Linked DNA regions of Lepisosteus oculatus. The protein of the gene in region 1 interacts with the protein of each later gene in a pairwise test. Links are inferred from orthologs where the notes say so. Each region holds a gene or a part of one and is shown on either strand. Other genes may lie near its edges.

What was found.
Region 2: the proteins of ccnd2a (region 1) and cdk6 interact in a two-hybrid assay, tested with the Homo sapiens proteins (2 studies listed by BioGRID, with this or other methods). The link is inferred for Lepisosteus oculatus from reciprocal best matches to the Homo sapiens genes CCND2 and CDK6.

Annotation. Positions count from the first base shown.
Region 1 is NC_090702.1:6,802,464-6,810,647, reverse strand, and holds the start of ccnd2a (G1/S-specific cyclin-D2a), read right to left. Parts: upstream 3,207-8,184; 5' UTR 3,003-3,206; coding exon 2,808-3,002; intron 1,371-2,807; coding exon 1,155-1,370; intron 1-1,154. UniProt on the Homo sapiens protein: Regulatory component of the cyclin D2-CDK4 (DC) complex that phosphorylates and inhibits members of the retinoblastoma (RB) protein family including RB1 and regulates the cell-cycle during G(1)/S transition.
Region 2 is NC_090705.1:4,900,262-4,907,653, reverse strand, and holds the start of cdk6 (cyclin-dependent kinase 6), read right to left. Parts: upstream 3,001-7,392; 5' UTR 2,935-3,000; intron 2,839-2,934; exon of another isoform or gene 2,571-2,838; intron 2,562-2,570; exon of another isoform or gene 2,454-2,561; intron 2,051-2,453; exon of another isoform or gene 1,482-2,050; 5' UTR 1,275-1,481; intron 925-1,274; exon of another isoform or gene 578-924; intron 440-577; 5' UTR 310-439; coding exon 86-309; intron 1-85. UniProt on the Homo sapiens protein: Serine/threonine-protein kinase involved in the control of the cell cycle and differentiation; promotes G1/S transition. Phosphorylates pRB/RB1 and NPM1.

The DNA of each region.
Region 1 (8,184 bases):
CCATATGAGATGTATTCCCTATTCAAAAAATCGCTTGATGCAATCAGATGGAACTACCCCCAGACAGCCCTCTATCTCTTGATTTCCGATAAACGGAGCATATCCACTTAATAAGCTCATCAGGTGAAAAGTTCTGGCTTATTTTCAGAAATTAGAGGTCACCCACTGACCACTGGCCCTGCCCTTTCATACTCTGGCCACAGAAGTAAGCAGGCAAACATTCAGCGTGACATTAAGAAATCCGTAGGGCGGAATTTAAAGATATGAAGAAACTAGCTAAACTAATTGTAGAACAAAAACCCAACAAACATCCCAGACCTTAATTACGGTTCAGCTGCTGCCACAAACGTTTAGTAGATTTCGTCGGCAAACGGGGGTTTTGACGACAGCGAGCTCAAACCCTAAACAAACAAAAAGTCCCTTAGACTTCTCTTTCGATTGTCAATCCAAATCAGTAAGCCGTGCACCACTTTAACGTGGCGGGCTATTTTTATCGACCCATTTTTAGTCCTAAAGAATTAATCCTGAATATTGTGACGCGAACAAGATTCAAGGCGTCCTTCTTTTCCGTAATCCACCTCCGGGAGGTTGGAATCCAGACACTGGCTTCCACTCAATACTGAAGTCACCACTAAAGACTTCCGAATATCTAACGCTAGATGGCAATAAAGACCGCCTCAACAAAAACACTCCAAGCCTTGTTTTTTTTAGCTTCACCGCACCATGTTTTCTTCCACGTGATTGATGGTCCCAATACATCGGACTTCGAAAAGGAAAATGCTGCTCTTATTTGCATGACTTATTTGTGCGTATAACTCTAGTTATAAATGCCTAATTGTGTGACTGGGATCAAAATGGCATTTATAAATCTATATGTAATAACCGTTACAATTAACCCCCCGATCACACACACTGTCATATACAGAAATACACAAGAGAGACATGCAACGCACACACAGGTATACGCAATCAGAAAAAGTGCAAAAAAAATAAAATGATACAGACAGGATATAGTGAGCTATTCCATTTTAAAACTCTATACTTCAAAAACCTTCATTTTTAAAACTCTTCAAATTCATCAGACGTCTATATTTGATAAAGAATTTACTCAAACTGAGCTTAAGAACTTTCTGCAGAATCAAACTGTTGCTTACCAGCAACTCCTGTGGTTTGATGGAGTTGTCAGTATAGATACAGAGTTTCTCTGCAGTTAATGGACGCGTCTCTTTCAATTTTGACGCAAGAAACATGCACACCGCTCCCAATAATTGCAGATTACACTTTTTGGTAGGTACCACTGCTAGAAATCTGTCCAAGTAGTTCATAGCCAGAGGGAAAACTTCTTCCTCGCACTTCTGCTCTTCACAAACCTAAAGAAAAAGAGAGAACGAATAGCCGGATGAACAAAAACACAGGGCACGCAAACTTCGGTATAACAAGTTTTATAGATTCCAATATTTCAAATACCTGTTAAATCAAATACAAAGGTACTTAAAGGATAAACTGAACTTGTTTTCCTTCAAAATCTCGATAGACAATATAATTTCCGTGTTTTATATTTCGTTAGAAATCGTTGTTTTTTTACAACGGGCGGATCCGGACCATATAGGGGCCAATATTATCGATAACGTCCAGATATGTTATTTTTGAAGGTTGGAACAAGGTCTCTGGCACAGACTGTCAATAGACTCGCATTCCTTCGGTTCATTCAGTAAGAAATGAATTCAAGTCACAATCACCCCAGCCAAAAAACACCCATGCAGCAGACTTCGGGAGCTCTTTTTTACATTTCGTCATATTTTCAGAAAATATTTAAAAATATTAAAAAAATATCTAGACCCCGGATTTTCACTTCCAAATGTTCGCAAAGGCTTCCCACATCATTCCCGACAATTGATACGCTTGGAAACCGAGATTAAACACGATAAAAACTTTGAAATCAGAGCATAGTGTCATGTGTTCGCCGTTGAACGTCTGGGAGCCGAACCGCAATAATTATTTCAAAAAATTATATAAAATCGCACAGAGTGAAAACATGAACACTTTTTATACGAAAATAAAGTACAACGGGTTAACTTCATTTTCTGACCACAAAAGATAAGAAATGTCCAAGCGATGGTCAAATATCGAACATAAATCTAGGCTGGCGGATTTTGGAGAGAGGATAGAAAGTAAAAGAGGAGTTAAGGGCCCGCACCCCTGTTGCGGACAAATGCTTTACAAAAAATATACAAAATATGTCCGGTTTTTCCGGGGTCAGTTTTAAGAGGACAGTGAAGTTCAACGTTTCTCCTATTGAGACATATCTAATTTAATAGTTGTTATCGCGTTTTAGTTAGTGATAAACCCGTCGGAAAAAAACACGAACTGCCTCAATAGTTCAAAACCAACATGGCGTTATATTATAGGATGGGGGTACGTATTGAACTGCATACGTGTGCATGGAAATATTTATTCGAGGAAAAAATAAAATTAATCACCGAAGCACCTCTTTCAGGGCCCCGATGATCACTTTTATTCGAAACAGACAGCCTTCTGTTCAGTTTTATAAACCCCTTCTGATCAGCTTTCCTCTCTGAACATAAGAACTTCAGAACACGCCTCGGCTCTCCGCACAGAACAGCATAAAATGTATTTAAAAAACACAGACACGTGTAATTCCGGGAAAGTCTCGTCGGAAAACAAAAAACAGACTCTTCTTCATTTTGAGCTTGAAAGTTCAGTGATATTAAGCACGAAACGAGGCTTTAAAAGTTTTAGAAGGAGGTGTGGGTTACAATGCAATTCTGCCTGCATACAGTACAAACCTCAAGCATCCAAGTTGCAACCATCTTCCGCATAAAAGGTTGAATATCCTTTTGAAAGCATTTGAAATAAGAACACTGGGGTAAAAATCTCTCTTCAATGGATAACAGGTTTTGCAAAACCCGGTCATCGTACAGAAGATTCGGGTCTGGATGAGCTCTTCGTACGGTGTCCGCCTCGTAGCAAAGGAGTTCCATGGTTTAAGCTTTAAGAATATATATATTTATTATCTATTAAATATTTATAATGATAGAAAATACAAAAACGACTGGAAATAAAGTATTTTAGAGACATATAATTGGGACTGCAGGACTATCCAGCCGAGTCCTGCCTCCCTTGAAACTTTTTTCCCCCTCTCCTATCCCTCTTGCTCTTCGCTTAACTTGTGCTCTCGTTTTGAAGCCTACTGAAGGCAGAGTGACGCAAGCTAACAGGGCCGATCTCTTATTATGTAGAACAGTTGGCCAGACTACACACATCAAAGGTTTTTTTTTTCTTGTTCAGTAAGCTAATAAGGAGCCAGAGGCCCCCAGACAGGGTACAAAATGACACCTTTTTATGGATATAATTTTTAATTCTTATAACCAAATGACTGATCTAAAACACCCCCCCCCCATCAACCACCCCCCCGCAAACACACATCTTAAGACCCCCGGACGCACATAAAAAGTGTAAAAAGCCATAAAAAACGGGAATATTGCGTTCATATGAAATTTGACGGTGAATTATGGTTGTGTGTGTGTAAAACGATATTTTTTGTGTTGGTTTTTTTTCACACCACCTGCATTTAAAAAACCGAGAGAGAATTTAGAGGTGAAGGATTTTCTGCAGACCAACTACCGAGTGATGGAAACAGGGAAACAACTCCTCAGTTGTTGAAAAGGTCGAAAACGTAAGGTTTGCAGTTTTATTTGTTGCTTATATATAGGCTGTAGCTATTTTGGTGACTTTTCTAGACGCCTGGAAACGTGCATCAGAAACTACAGGGAAACTCAGAAAGCTCGCTCTTCGGATATATAAAATTCTTTTTTTTTTCATCTTCCTGACTGCACGACTGTGTCGTTTTTCTTTTCCTCCCCACCCCCATGAAAAAGAGCTAACCAGAACTATCTTTTATATAGCAACAACTCTTGTGGTCGGTGAGATAGCTTTCTAGGAAATGGCGAGCTAGAAACGTTGTATAGGCTTGTTATAGATAGTACTATTAAGCCTTCCACCAGTTGCTAGGCAGCAGATTTTCAGGTTTTATTTGTGCAATGAATGAAAAAAAATGAGGATGTTTCAAAGCATACTTCCAAGTCGGATATTTTCTTTGGCTTTCATTTAGTTACAATTAGGGTTTCCTAAATGAAATTTCACTGTAAGAAGAACACCATAGATGGTAGAGCAGCGAATGGCAGAACTGAACAATCTAGCTTGATTATATATATATATGCCATTTCATTCTTTCATGTACACCAGTTAATTAATATAAAATCCATAGAAACCCCTATATTTCTGATATCCATTTCCTGTCAAGATTCAGCCTTGAGCTGTTGAGTTTTACATTGGATCATACCATATACGAGACCATTCATCTGAACACTTCGAGCTCTGGTACGGCTCCAGCAATAAAATACACGAAGAAACCCATGTATAAGAAGAGGGTTTTGTACTGGGGATTGGAGAAATAGTGGCAGAATAGTTCCGTTTCTATTGTTCCAAAGCCTGCGAGTTGGGTTGGATAAGAAAGGTAGAAATAATGCACGGTTCTGGTAGCTTCACACTACATTATGTTAATAATATCATCGAGGCAAACCACTTCATCTTGAAAAGACATATTCATTTAAAGTACACCGCGAGTGTACATTATTGAGCACATGTATACCTCTAGAAAGCGTGCAACAACCAAAGCTTGGATGAAGATCAGTTTGGTCCACCAGCTCGGCAACATATGTCTAGAGTTTGCAACGACGGCTCTCTCATTTTTTTTTTTTTGCAGTTTTAAAACATTAGCGACCAGAGCAAATGCTTCAACGCTTTTCATGAAGTGGGAAATGTCTCTTTAAACAAGAATTTTTTGGTTTCTAGATTGTTTCCACCCCCAGTCTCTATTTGCATAGCCAATAGCTCTTCTGCGCGCGTCCGCAGCACGCTGATTGTTACCGGGCAGAATAACTACTGGCTTTATGCATTCCTTCTCAGGCTACTAGGAGGAGAACCTACAATAACCTTAATATTAATTACCCATAAGATTAAGCAATAATCTAATGCGCACATCAATGCACTCCGACAACAGAGCGCAGGGACACATAAAACTCAGGCATACTCCGATTATTGTGCCATTTATCGCGAGGGTATTCTAAACGAAATAGTACCTTGTCTTTAAATATTCCGTTCGGAAAGGAAAGTGAAAGAAATGCCAAAATTAAGCCGGTTAATTGAGTCGATTTCTTAATCTGTGGGATCCACCACACCGAGTCTCAAGCTTCGCCTTTTAACTTGTTTCATGTTTCAATTGTGTTAATGAACAATGTACAGTCTACAGTATACCGTCTCGCAAAGAGCATGAACGGATTCATCAGATCTTAAATCACGCGCTACAGAGACTTCCTTAGAAAACACACTTTTGACTTAAAACGACTGTGTTTTACCGACTTTATATATAGTGACACTTTTACAGTCATCTTAAAGAGTCGCTTTTAAAGGGTTGGATGCAAATCAACGTGTTTTTTTTTTTGCACGTCAATTGACCAAGGTGTTTCCTGAACAGTTAGCAGTTCATCGTCATTGTTCTCAATGGAACACGGAATAAATGGAATAAAATAAGATGATACTAGAAATGTTTGATGTTTGAGTAAGCGACTTAGGAGCACTCAGTGGCAATTTAGTGGCAGAATACAAGCTTCCCGTTCATTTTCAATGCAGTAGTTCAGTGGCTATAGGCTCTTTTTTTAGCATAATTCTAGCTCTGCTCCATCCTATTGCTGTGTTACAACAGTACTGTACTGTGCCCACTGTGCCTTACATTTGAAGAGTTACGACGCGCTTTATAGCAACTTAAGTTAAATCGTAATGTGAACATGAAAAAAGAAGGGGTTTCATACAAGAAAGCCCCCTAAATGTTGTGATTCTCTGTTTAGCTAAGTGGGAATGAACCAAAACTAATCCGACACCTTTTCAACTTGAACCCTTAACGCAGCAGTCCTGTGTTTTACTCCATGTATGTATAAAGGCTATATGATGTCTGTGCCTGTGTGATACATAAAACCCCACTGTTTACACGGCAAGGATTTGTATCGTATGAGTTGATCACGATGCGATTATTTACGTTTCCTGTGGATCTATTCATTAAGGCATTGGATGATCTTATCTGTAAATTAGGCAAACCGATAAAAATGGTTTCCCAGCACAATTCAGTGACTCAGGTAACAAATATGATGCGATTTTATTGTTATTTTACTATTCATTCACGTGCCAGGGGCTTCACATGAATGCTTTTTTTTCATATTTAATGACATTTTTGAGACAGCAGATGTTTAACAGTCTAGGCTCGAAGATAAAAGTACGCCATATGCTATCCCCCCTCCAGAAACAGGGGAAAGAAGTTCAGCGCATCTATTTCAAATATGGACAATTGGGGTTAAATGACACAAAGTATAGTTTTAACAACGTAGAAGAACAGCTGTCGGTGAAATAAAATCATATAAAAAGCATTACTCGCCGTCTTATAGTATTTTTTTTTTCATTTCCACAGTCTATGCTTCAAAAGACTCGGGTTTGAAACGTTTAACCTGACATCTATGCTTATTTGGAATTTAAATCAACAACTATTGGAAAATGTACCTCTTTTCATGTATTGCGTTTGATACGTACAGCACATGATTTAATAAATTAGATGAGAAAATGTTCCATTTCCTTCCCACGTGTACTGCTCGGTACAGCCTACTGCAGGCTTGGTACAGCCTACTTTATGGTTTCGTTTGAGATAGCAACATGCTGTATTTTCGCGGATTTATGACGTCACGACACTTGATAAAAGTGGGCATGTGCTGAGAGACGGTTTTAGACGCAAACGCTGGAAAGCTTGGTTTTTCGTGTGTGATCAGTCCTGCTCGTTGACTCGTTGAAGGCGAGGTATTGATTCCTGAAGAATTCTCCCATTGAAAGTCCCCGCTCATTCAATATTTTAATGTGCATCTACCAAGTTTGTAATTCGGTACATCTGCAAATTCAAAGAGCTAAACAGCGCTATTTTACAGCACTTCGGAAACGTCTTACAATCTTATAAGCATTGAATTCGATACCTCCAGCGATTTTTAAAAACGACGTAACAAGATAGTATAATCGTTATAATGTGGTTCACCTCAGTTGTCGACTATTTTTAACCTAATGTATATTCTTTGTAACCTGGCGTGCGTGACGTCCCTTTTTATTGTATGTTTGCAAACGATGACGCACAGCGCACAAACAGCACACTTTGGTACAGCTCGGTCTGTTTTAGAAGTATTTGACTTTGACACGCTAAGAAGAATTTCGGATATCGATGGGAAAATTAAAATAGTAATTGAAACAGCCGACATTGGTTTGTTTGTTTTTTTTCTGTAAAGTTAAGGGGAAGCTGGTTCAGGTTTGTTTTTCTGTAAAATAGTTTTCGACTTTTATAGTCGATTATGTTAAAATGTGGTACTTAAATACGCATAATTTGAATGGTAAAGTTGAACATGAAAAATAAATGCAGTATCACATCATCTTGTTCCAGTGTGGATGTAGATTACAGGTACGGATTATCACCATACAATTTTAAGCATATGGTATGTCTAAGAGGCTACTTTCCTCAAATTTGATTACACTTTTTATTTTATAATTTCATTCTGAAACATATATTGTATGTCCACAATACCTCACAGTTGTTCAAGTGAATGTCAAAAAAATAATTTGTATTGAGAGTTGTATCATCCAATGATTATGAGTTATAGTATTTCTGTATACTGTATATGCTGTAAAGAAAACTGTTTTCTTGTCATTTAATAATCATAAATCAACAAAACTAAATATTACGTTTATTCTTTAGCCATTATTCATGTAACAATTCATACATATTCCATGCTTAAATGCAAGTATTGCAAAACATTAATATCTGACTTATATTCATACAACTCACAATATTCAGTTCTTATTTAATGAACAGAACGACTGTTACTTTACAACAGAAAAACAGTGTCCAGAAAGGACACAATATTCCTTACAAAACCTGAATACACATAATATCAATTTTAATAACACAGTCTGGTTATGTTTTTTTCTCAATACATTTCTGTTTAATCTAAAAACATATATTCAGACACACATTTTCTAAACGTATAGGCAAACAGCTGCAGTCTGTGTGGGTTTTATGCT
Region 2 (7,392 bases), on another chromosome or scaffold:
ATCATTATTCTCATAAATCCAGCTGATGCAGGCAGCTTTGGGGATACCCCCTCTAATCTCCCAACTCAGATATCCTCCCCCTTACCTAACAACGTTGGGGTGCTCGAAGGACTCCAGCTGTCTCAGGACCGCCACCTCGCGGATGGTAGAAAGTGGCATTCCTTCTTCTTCGGTTTGCACCCTGACTCTTTTAAGGGCAACGAAACGGCCCCCGTTCTTCAGATCCCGTGCTTTGTATACCTTTCCGTACGCCCCTTCCCCAATCTCAGCAACAGGCTCATACTGTTGAGTCAGACTGTCTTTCTCCATTTTACAGCGTGCTGCAACTTTGTAAAAAAAACAACAACAACAAACCAACTAATCTGACAAACCCCGTCAGGCACCTTGAAATGTTACGAAGAAGACATCATCAGAAGAGCAGATCTAGCATCATCGAAGTCTGTTTGAGAAAAGCAGAAGAAAAAAAAAGCGCATTAGTCGATCAGAAAAAAAAACGTTACATCCACAAAACGTGCAGAGTAAAGGATATGTGGCTTTCTTTTAGCCCCTTCTAAAATAAGATCTTCTTTGAATTTACCTGACACTCCCACTAGGCTGTTCTGCATATCAGCTCGAGTCTTCCTCACATCTTCCCCAATTCAAAAGCTTTTGCACAGCAGCTACACATATTACAATAGAGCTTCATACTGTCAATGCAAGTGACGGAGAAGCGTACCAGAGGTGCGCTTCGTACATGTTTCTATTTTGTTCCCGAGAACTAGAATTTGAATTTAAAAAAAAAGACGAAAATAAATCAGACTGAATATTTCAATAGCGCAAATTTGAAGGTTTACAGCCACCTCTTTCGCCTTTAGGCTTTCCAAATGTGAGCTGCTTAAAAATAATTCGGTTCAGCACGTGGCTCCGTGTGCATGGTATTGTTCGATAAATTTAAAAAGCCAGCAGTAAGCCCAAGTTATCATCTGATCAGCCCGTATGCAATCAAGTCCCTTTTCCTACATTCTTTACAAATGCAGGACGTGGTATTCTTAAAACGTGGCTCTGATCGACCACTTTAAAAATGCAGTTTATTAAACCACACCTCCGTATTTACAGCATCTTTATACAGTTTATCGAATAACCCCACAATTCTCAAAACAGAACATTAAAGGCAAAAGTACCAGCCAAGGTACGTGTACATTTGTGTGCGCGTTTAATGAATGTAATGTAATATATATATATACACAATTAATTGCACAAACATTTTACGCTGTCATCCAATGACATCAAGTTACCTGATCGATATCATTTAGGACAGAAAATTCCGCAAGGACGCAACGTTCTGCACGTCCTTTATAAACTGCGATGAACCAGCTCGTCCTTTGTGAATGGAAGTTTGCAAATACTTCACAGATCCCTTACTGTCCTAGTCAGGGCCACACAGGTAGAGAAACAGTGAACGCTGGGACCCCCATTCTCCAGCAGCAGCAATTCAGGCAGATCTAAAAAAAAAGGGGGGGTATTCGTCTTTCACACAGAAAAACAGTGGAAGTGCAAAACCTTTTTTGAGATCAAAGTGTATGGATGAACCCTTTAAACTGCAAAGTTCTTTTTTTTTTTCCTAGCGAAATTTCTTTCTTTTCTTGTCCTATTCCAGAATATGCAATGTTGTCTGTGAGCTCCGGCTCTTTTTCCCTTTCCCACGCAGGCTGAATGTGTCTTGACCCCCTTCAGAGAAGTTTGACATAGAGCAGGAACATTTCCGCATTCCTCAGTGACTACAAAGGAAAACCGCCTCCTTCTGCTTTCTCTATGCCTCCTTGCTTCTTTTGCATTCTTAAGTTCTTTCTTTCTCTCTCTCTTTTTGTCTCAGTGTCAAAAGCAGGGATCACCACAGGGGAAAAAAAGCTGGGCGGCCACAAAGTTTATTGGACGCACTGGCCGATGTACCAAGCTTTTCAAAGCTCCTCTGTGCACAATGCTGTATTGGAAACGAGACTGACACAGGCTCGCTGTCATCCCAGATCTCAGGTTCAATGCCCCCCATGCACTACACTGGGTTAGTGTCAAGAGATATTTAATTCAGATCAGCTTTTTTAAATTGCGGCAAATATTTCAGCATATTTGATAGCAATGCCCTTGTAATGCAACCTGGCATTTAAACACAGAAACGACTTTCTTTTAAACTATAACCAAATGTTCTGCTGAAATTAGTCGGTTACCTGGATACCTGTAATTTGATGGGACTAAACACAGTCTATATATAGACGCAAGCCTGGGGCTCCATAAAAATACGAAAAAAAAGATCAGAAATTCTTAACAGTGTTTTAAAAAAAGACAACTCGCCAACGGGGCGCCTTTCACTTTCTACTACTTTGTTTCTGATAACAAAGCACATGGACTTTATATAACATTATTTCTTTGGCAGACTATAAAAATGCACCCCCTGATCAGAGGAAAAGTTGTATACATACCAATTAACAAATGTAAGACAACGTTCCGTTTTTTAACCCCTCAAGCCGGGATGAAGAACCTTTTGCAGTATTGTCACTTTTCACACCCATTTCTGGCTTTATTACACGGATACTCACAATCGCTACGCCGGTTCTAACGTGGGATAATGTCTGTTTCTGGAGAATTAAAGACCAAAAATATATGCAATAGGTATGTCGCACATTTCAGTATCGGTACCCAGAATACTACGCGATGCCTAAATATCCGGTCTAAGAGCATAAATTCTCCCAATATAAAAATAAGTTACACGCAAAATAAGAACTTCGGCACAACCAACGAAAAAAAATGTTATGTTCATAACGGGAAACCGAAATGAAATCAGGTGGATGATGCGCTCAATTAGGACAGGGAGACGGTCTTGGTGCGTTATTAAAAGGGAAAGCAGCAACAACAGCAACTTTAAGAGGCCAAAATAGGGACACGAATATCATCAGCGCATACCCTTAAAGGCGACTCCTCGGAGAAGGAAAGACAGTTCTGTCGCTGCAGTTTCGGTTCGGTTTTCAGGTCATCGCCCTCCACCCCCCCCTCAAGAAAAAGACACATCTGCAAATGTCTGTAGAGGAGAGCTGGGTTTATAGTTTAGGATTTGTGTTGGTATGTTTGTAACTGTATATGAAAAGTTCACATCTGCTGTCTCTCTTGAAGATGAAGTTTAAAGACGTTCCACTCACGCCATGTAACTTTAATAGCGCATTTGTTTGCCTATATACAGCATTTCCCCCTTTATTCTGTAATTGGTAAGTAATATTTTTGTAATATATGACTTAGGGGGTATTAACGCGTTGTGCTAAAAGTGTAATTCGTGGAAAATTGCTACAGCTGTTGAAATTCAGTTTCCCAAAGGTCAGTACACTATTAAAGGCAAATACTTTAAAAGTTACCATTTCACAGTTTTATGGGTAAAAACCTAAGATGTAGAAAATCGCCTGGAAAAGAAATGGATTGCACTTTAGCTGCATTTCCTTACAGTTTAAATAGTTTGCAGCTGTTTTGTAGACAGTATGGCTTTATATAAATAGGAACCATGTTATATATAAGCTTTATACTTTCATGTACTTACTGCAATATTTGAATAGGATGAAATGATCAGAAAACTGGTAAGGATTTGTGTTTGTAATTTGTACTTGTTGTTTTTATTTACATGCTGCTTACGGAGCTCAAACAAAAAAAAAATGAAAGACAAATATGTATGCAAGGAATTTCTGTACACACATCTATTTAAAACTTTTTAAAGTGTAGCTGAGTAGTTTTCCTGAACTTATATCTCATGCAATAAATACATTAACAGAATTTGAAGTTGTGATTTTTTCTTACAATTTTCCTTGTCTAGATGGTTAATATTACAATTAGTATATTATGCAGTATGAATATAAATAACCTAAACAACTTTGTAAATTATTTCAGTGTTATGTTGATACAATTCAATTACAAAGACATACCAAATTGTTCTATCATTCTCTGGGAACAAGTCTGTTTTGGTTGTGGTTTTGTTTCGTAATTTACTTGGCTGAAAAAAGTCTAAAATAATAAAACATTTAAATGTTGCTGAAGTAAAAAAATGGTGCCAGATGTTTAATACAAGGGTGCCACTGATGTATGATGATCTGATATCTGGAACTTTGCAAAGAAACATTGAAAACTGCTTACATTGATCCCAGAGTAATTATATTTATAACAACAGTTGATGATTAATGGTCAGGTAATTATCTTGAAACATGTTTGACAAAATCAAATCAAGCATTTCTGTTTTTTAAAAAGTGAATGGAAATTGAAAATGAAAAACAAAATGTTAGTAACTTTCCATTGTTCGGAAAATTTACCATGAAGCTGGTGAGGGAATTCCTTGACATTTCAAGTTTGTTTGTGTACACCACGACATAACACAGACAGTAACCCTGAAACTGCCATACTGTAATATCCAGTAAAAGTAAGAATTATATACAGTACATAGAAACTGAAAGTAGTTACAGGAATGGAGCTAAAACAAATCTAAAATTTCCAGGTATTTGAAAAGCTATTTTGTAAAGACTTGCCATAAGTATGTTTTCAATAAGTAAGAATTAAAGTTTTTGACTTTATAATAATAATAATATATAATAATTTATAACTTCATGTTAATGCTTCTGTTACCCCACAAGAAAATGACTGCATTATTGTTCCAAAAGCAACCGTTATGATTTTAAATGGTTTCACTGGGAAAAAAACACACTTTTTTATACACTTGCTGTTCTGTAATACAGCACAATGTCTCACTAAAACACATCTTGTTTGATAATTAAAATAAAAATATCAATATGATCATTGTTTTTGTGATTTGGGTGAGAGTTTTTGGATGCCAAGAAAAAAATCGCTTTATTTTTACTTTTTCAGCTTACAAACTGCAAAGACACAAAAACTAAAAAAAAAAAAAACAGTTAAAAAAGAGCTTGATGACTTTCAATATATTATTCACTACATGTTCTTCAAATTAAATGAAAATCAGATAAAGGTTTCCAACACCTACATACATAACAATATGTGCAAGTAGAATTGAGCAAGTGTGTAAAAGTGTCTTTTGTTTTGTCACTTTTTATTTTAATAACATTTCCCAGTTTCCCCAGGATTAATGATGATCATGTCAAAGTTTTCAATATCACCCATTTCATTTCCATGTGTTGTCTTTCTGACACCCTTTCCACAGACTGCCTTCTGTTTAGTAGTCTGACTTAATCAAATCTTTTGCGAAAGTGAAGGTTTTTCAGATTTTCCTGGTGTCCGAAAGATAGAGGAGGACAGAGTCCTCTCCTTTTTGCATGGGCTGCAGATCCACTGGGATTGGCTAATCCTCTCGTTAGAAAATAATTCTCTACTTGTGAACAGCATAATGATGAGCCTGAAAACCTTCTGTCAGAAGCAATTAAAAATATATTCTGCAGATGAGATCGAACTAGATTGAAAAAAACCCAGTGAAAATAGCATATTTAATATCAATAATATATTTTAATGTATATGTAAAGAATAGTTTTTTAGTAAAAGTGTATATTAACATAGCAATAATTTCAAACACTCTTGTTAATGTCATTAATTCCCTGAATACCTCATTCAATAATTCTAAATAGTTTCTGAATTATGTCATTTCTGAACATGGATGCGAAATTAAACATTTCTTAAATTATTTTGAAATAATTATTTTCTTTTTTTCAGCAGGCAATTAAAGTTTTTTTTTGCTTTGCAGTATTGAAACTTGAGCTAGTAACATGGTAACCATGGCTTTCATAATAATTTGTGAATAATGTTTTCTATTTATCACTAGGCAATAACAGACAAATGCTTTGTTTTACTACAAAATATTCTTAGAAAAGCACAGATATCTATATGTTGTGACATAGTAATACATGAAAAAATATTTTAGTGAACTATGAGTCTTGCAGTTAAATGAAACGCCTTGATATAAGTTATCTACTTCAAGTTTTATTTTTGTATCTAAGGATAGGAACAGTTATATCTGTTTATATAATTATAGATTAGGGTGTTTTATATACTGGATAAATGTGCAGAGAAAAGAGGATGTTTTTTTAAATAACACAGTAATAAATAGTAATAGCATTTTCTGATTTGCCGTTCTTTCAATGCCTCACCCTTGCCTATCTAAATATTTATCTCTATGACGATTTAAAATAAACACAATCATTTTTCCATAATGAAAGGTTTTTCTGTCTCATAAAGCAGGACATAATTGTAACAAAGTAAAGAACTTGATACCAAAGAATCATATCAAGAAATTATTTTCTTCTTGAAAATGCTTTTGAATGCATATGAAGGACAGAAACTCATTTGTTTTACCAATAAAAGTAACTAGTAGAATTGTATAATAAATGTCCATGTTTTAATGTAAATATACAGTATATGACGTAATACACAATTACTTGAAAAGTCATTTTAAATACACACGAAGTCACTGTGTATTTTTTTAAGTTGTTAAATGTCCATCATGAGTTAATCGCTGTCTAAATTGGTATTTAAGCTAATAATAGAGAACTGGAAATGAGCAGGACTGTTTACATTTAAAAATACCTTTAGTCTAACTAATAACTAATAACTAACTAATAACTAGTCTAACTAATAACACTAACTAGTCTTCTAATACTGGATTTTATATAATTAAAGACACATATTTATTAAAGATGAAAGACAAAACAATATTAATATGTCCCTGACATAATGTTTCAATATTAATATTGTGGGGATGTTATATACTTGAAAATAAAATTGGATTTGAATATTTTAGGATATTTTGAATTACAAAGCACAAGTATATACTGCATCATCATCTTAATAGCATTTTTCGTCCATCTTTCAGAAACAACTGGGTGAACATTGCATCATTATTTACTGCAGTCATTTACAACAGGACCTTGATTTTATGTCATCTAAAGGACAGCATAGAGAGGTTAAGTCACTTGCTCTGAGTACTACCAAATTAGTCAGTGACAAATCCAGGCTCTTAAACTAACATGTAACAGCAATGCACTGATAATCACTTAATCATTTATGCTCTTTATAAGCAAACATGAAAAGTCACTAGGAATTTGGAATGGTTAAAAATATTCAGGTGTTGCAAAGTATCCACAATTTAGGACACTGAAGCTAGATACCCTGTGAATTTAAATGGAAATGTACTTCGATTGTCAATTAGACAAATCAGTGTTGTCTCAGTTACTGTACATGGAAAGTAATGGAATATAAGAGCCAAATTAGAACAGCATCTGAATAGATTTAGGTGGCATGGATCATGGATCATGGATCTTTGAGCAAGTAGCTATGACAGTGGATATCTTTAGGGTGTGTGATATGACATACAGTACTGGATGTAACTTTAAAGTAATGAGACTGAATAGTACTGTTTTTAAAGTTAGA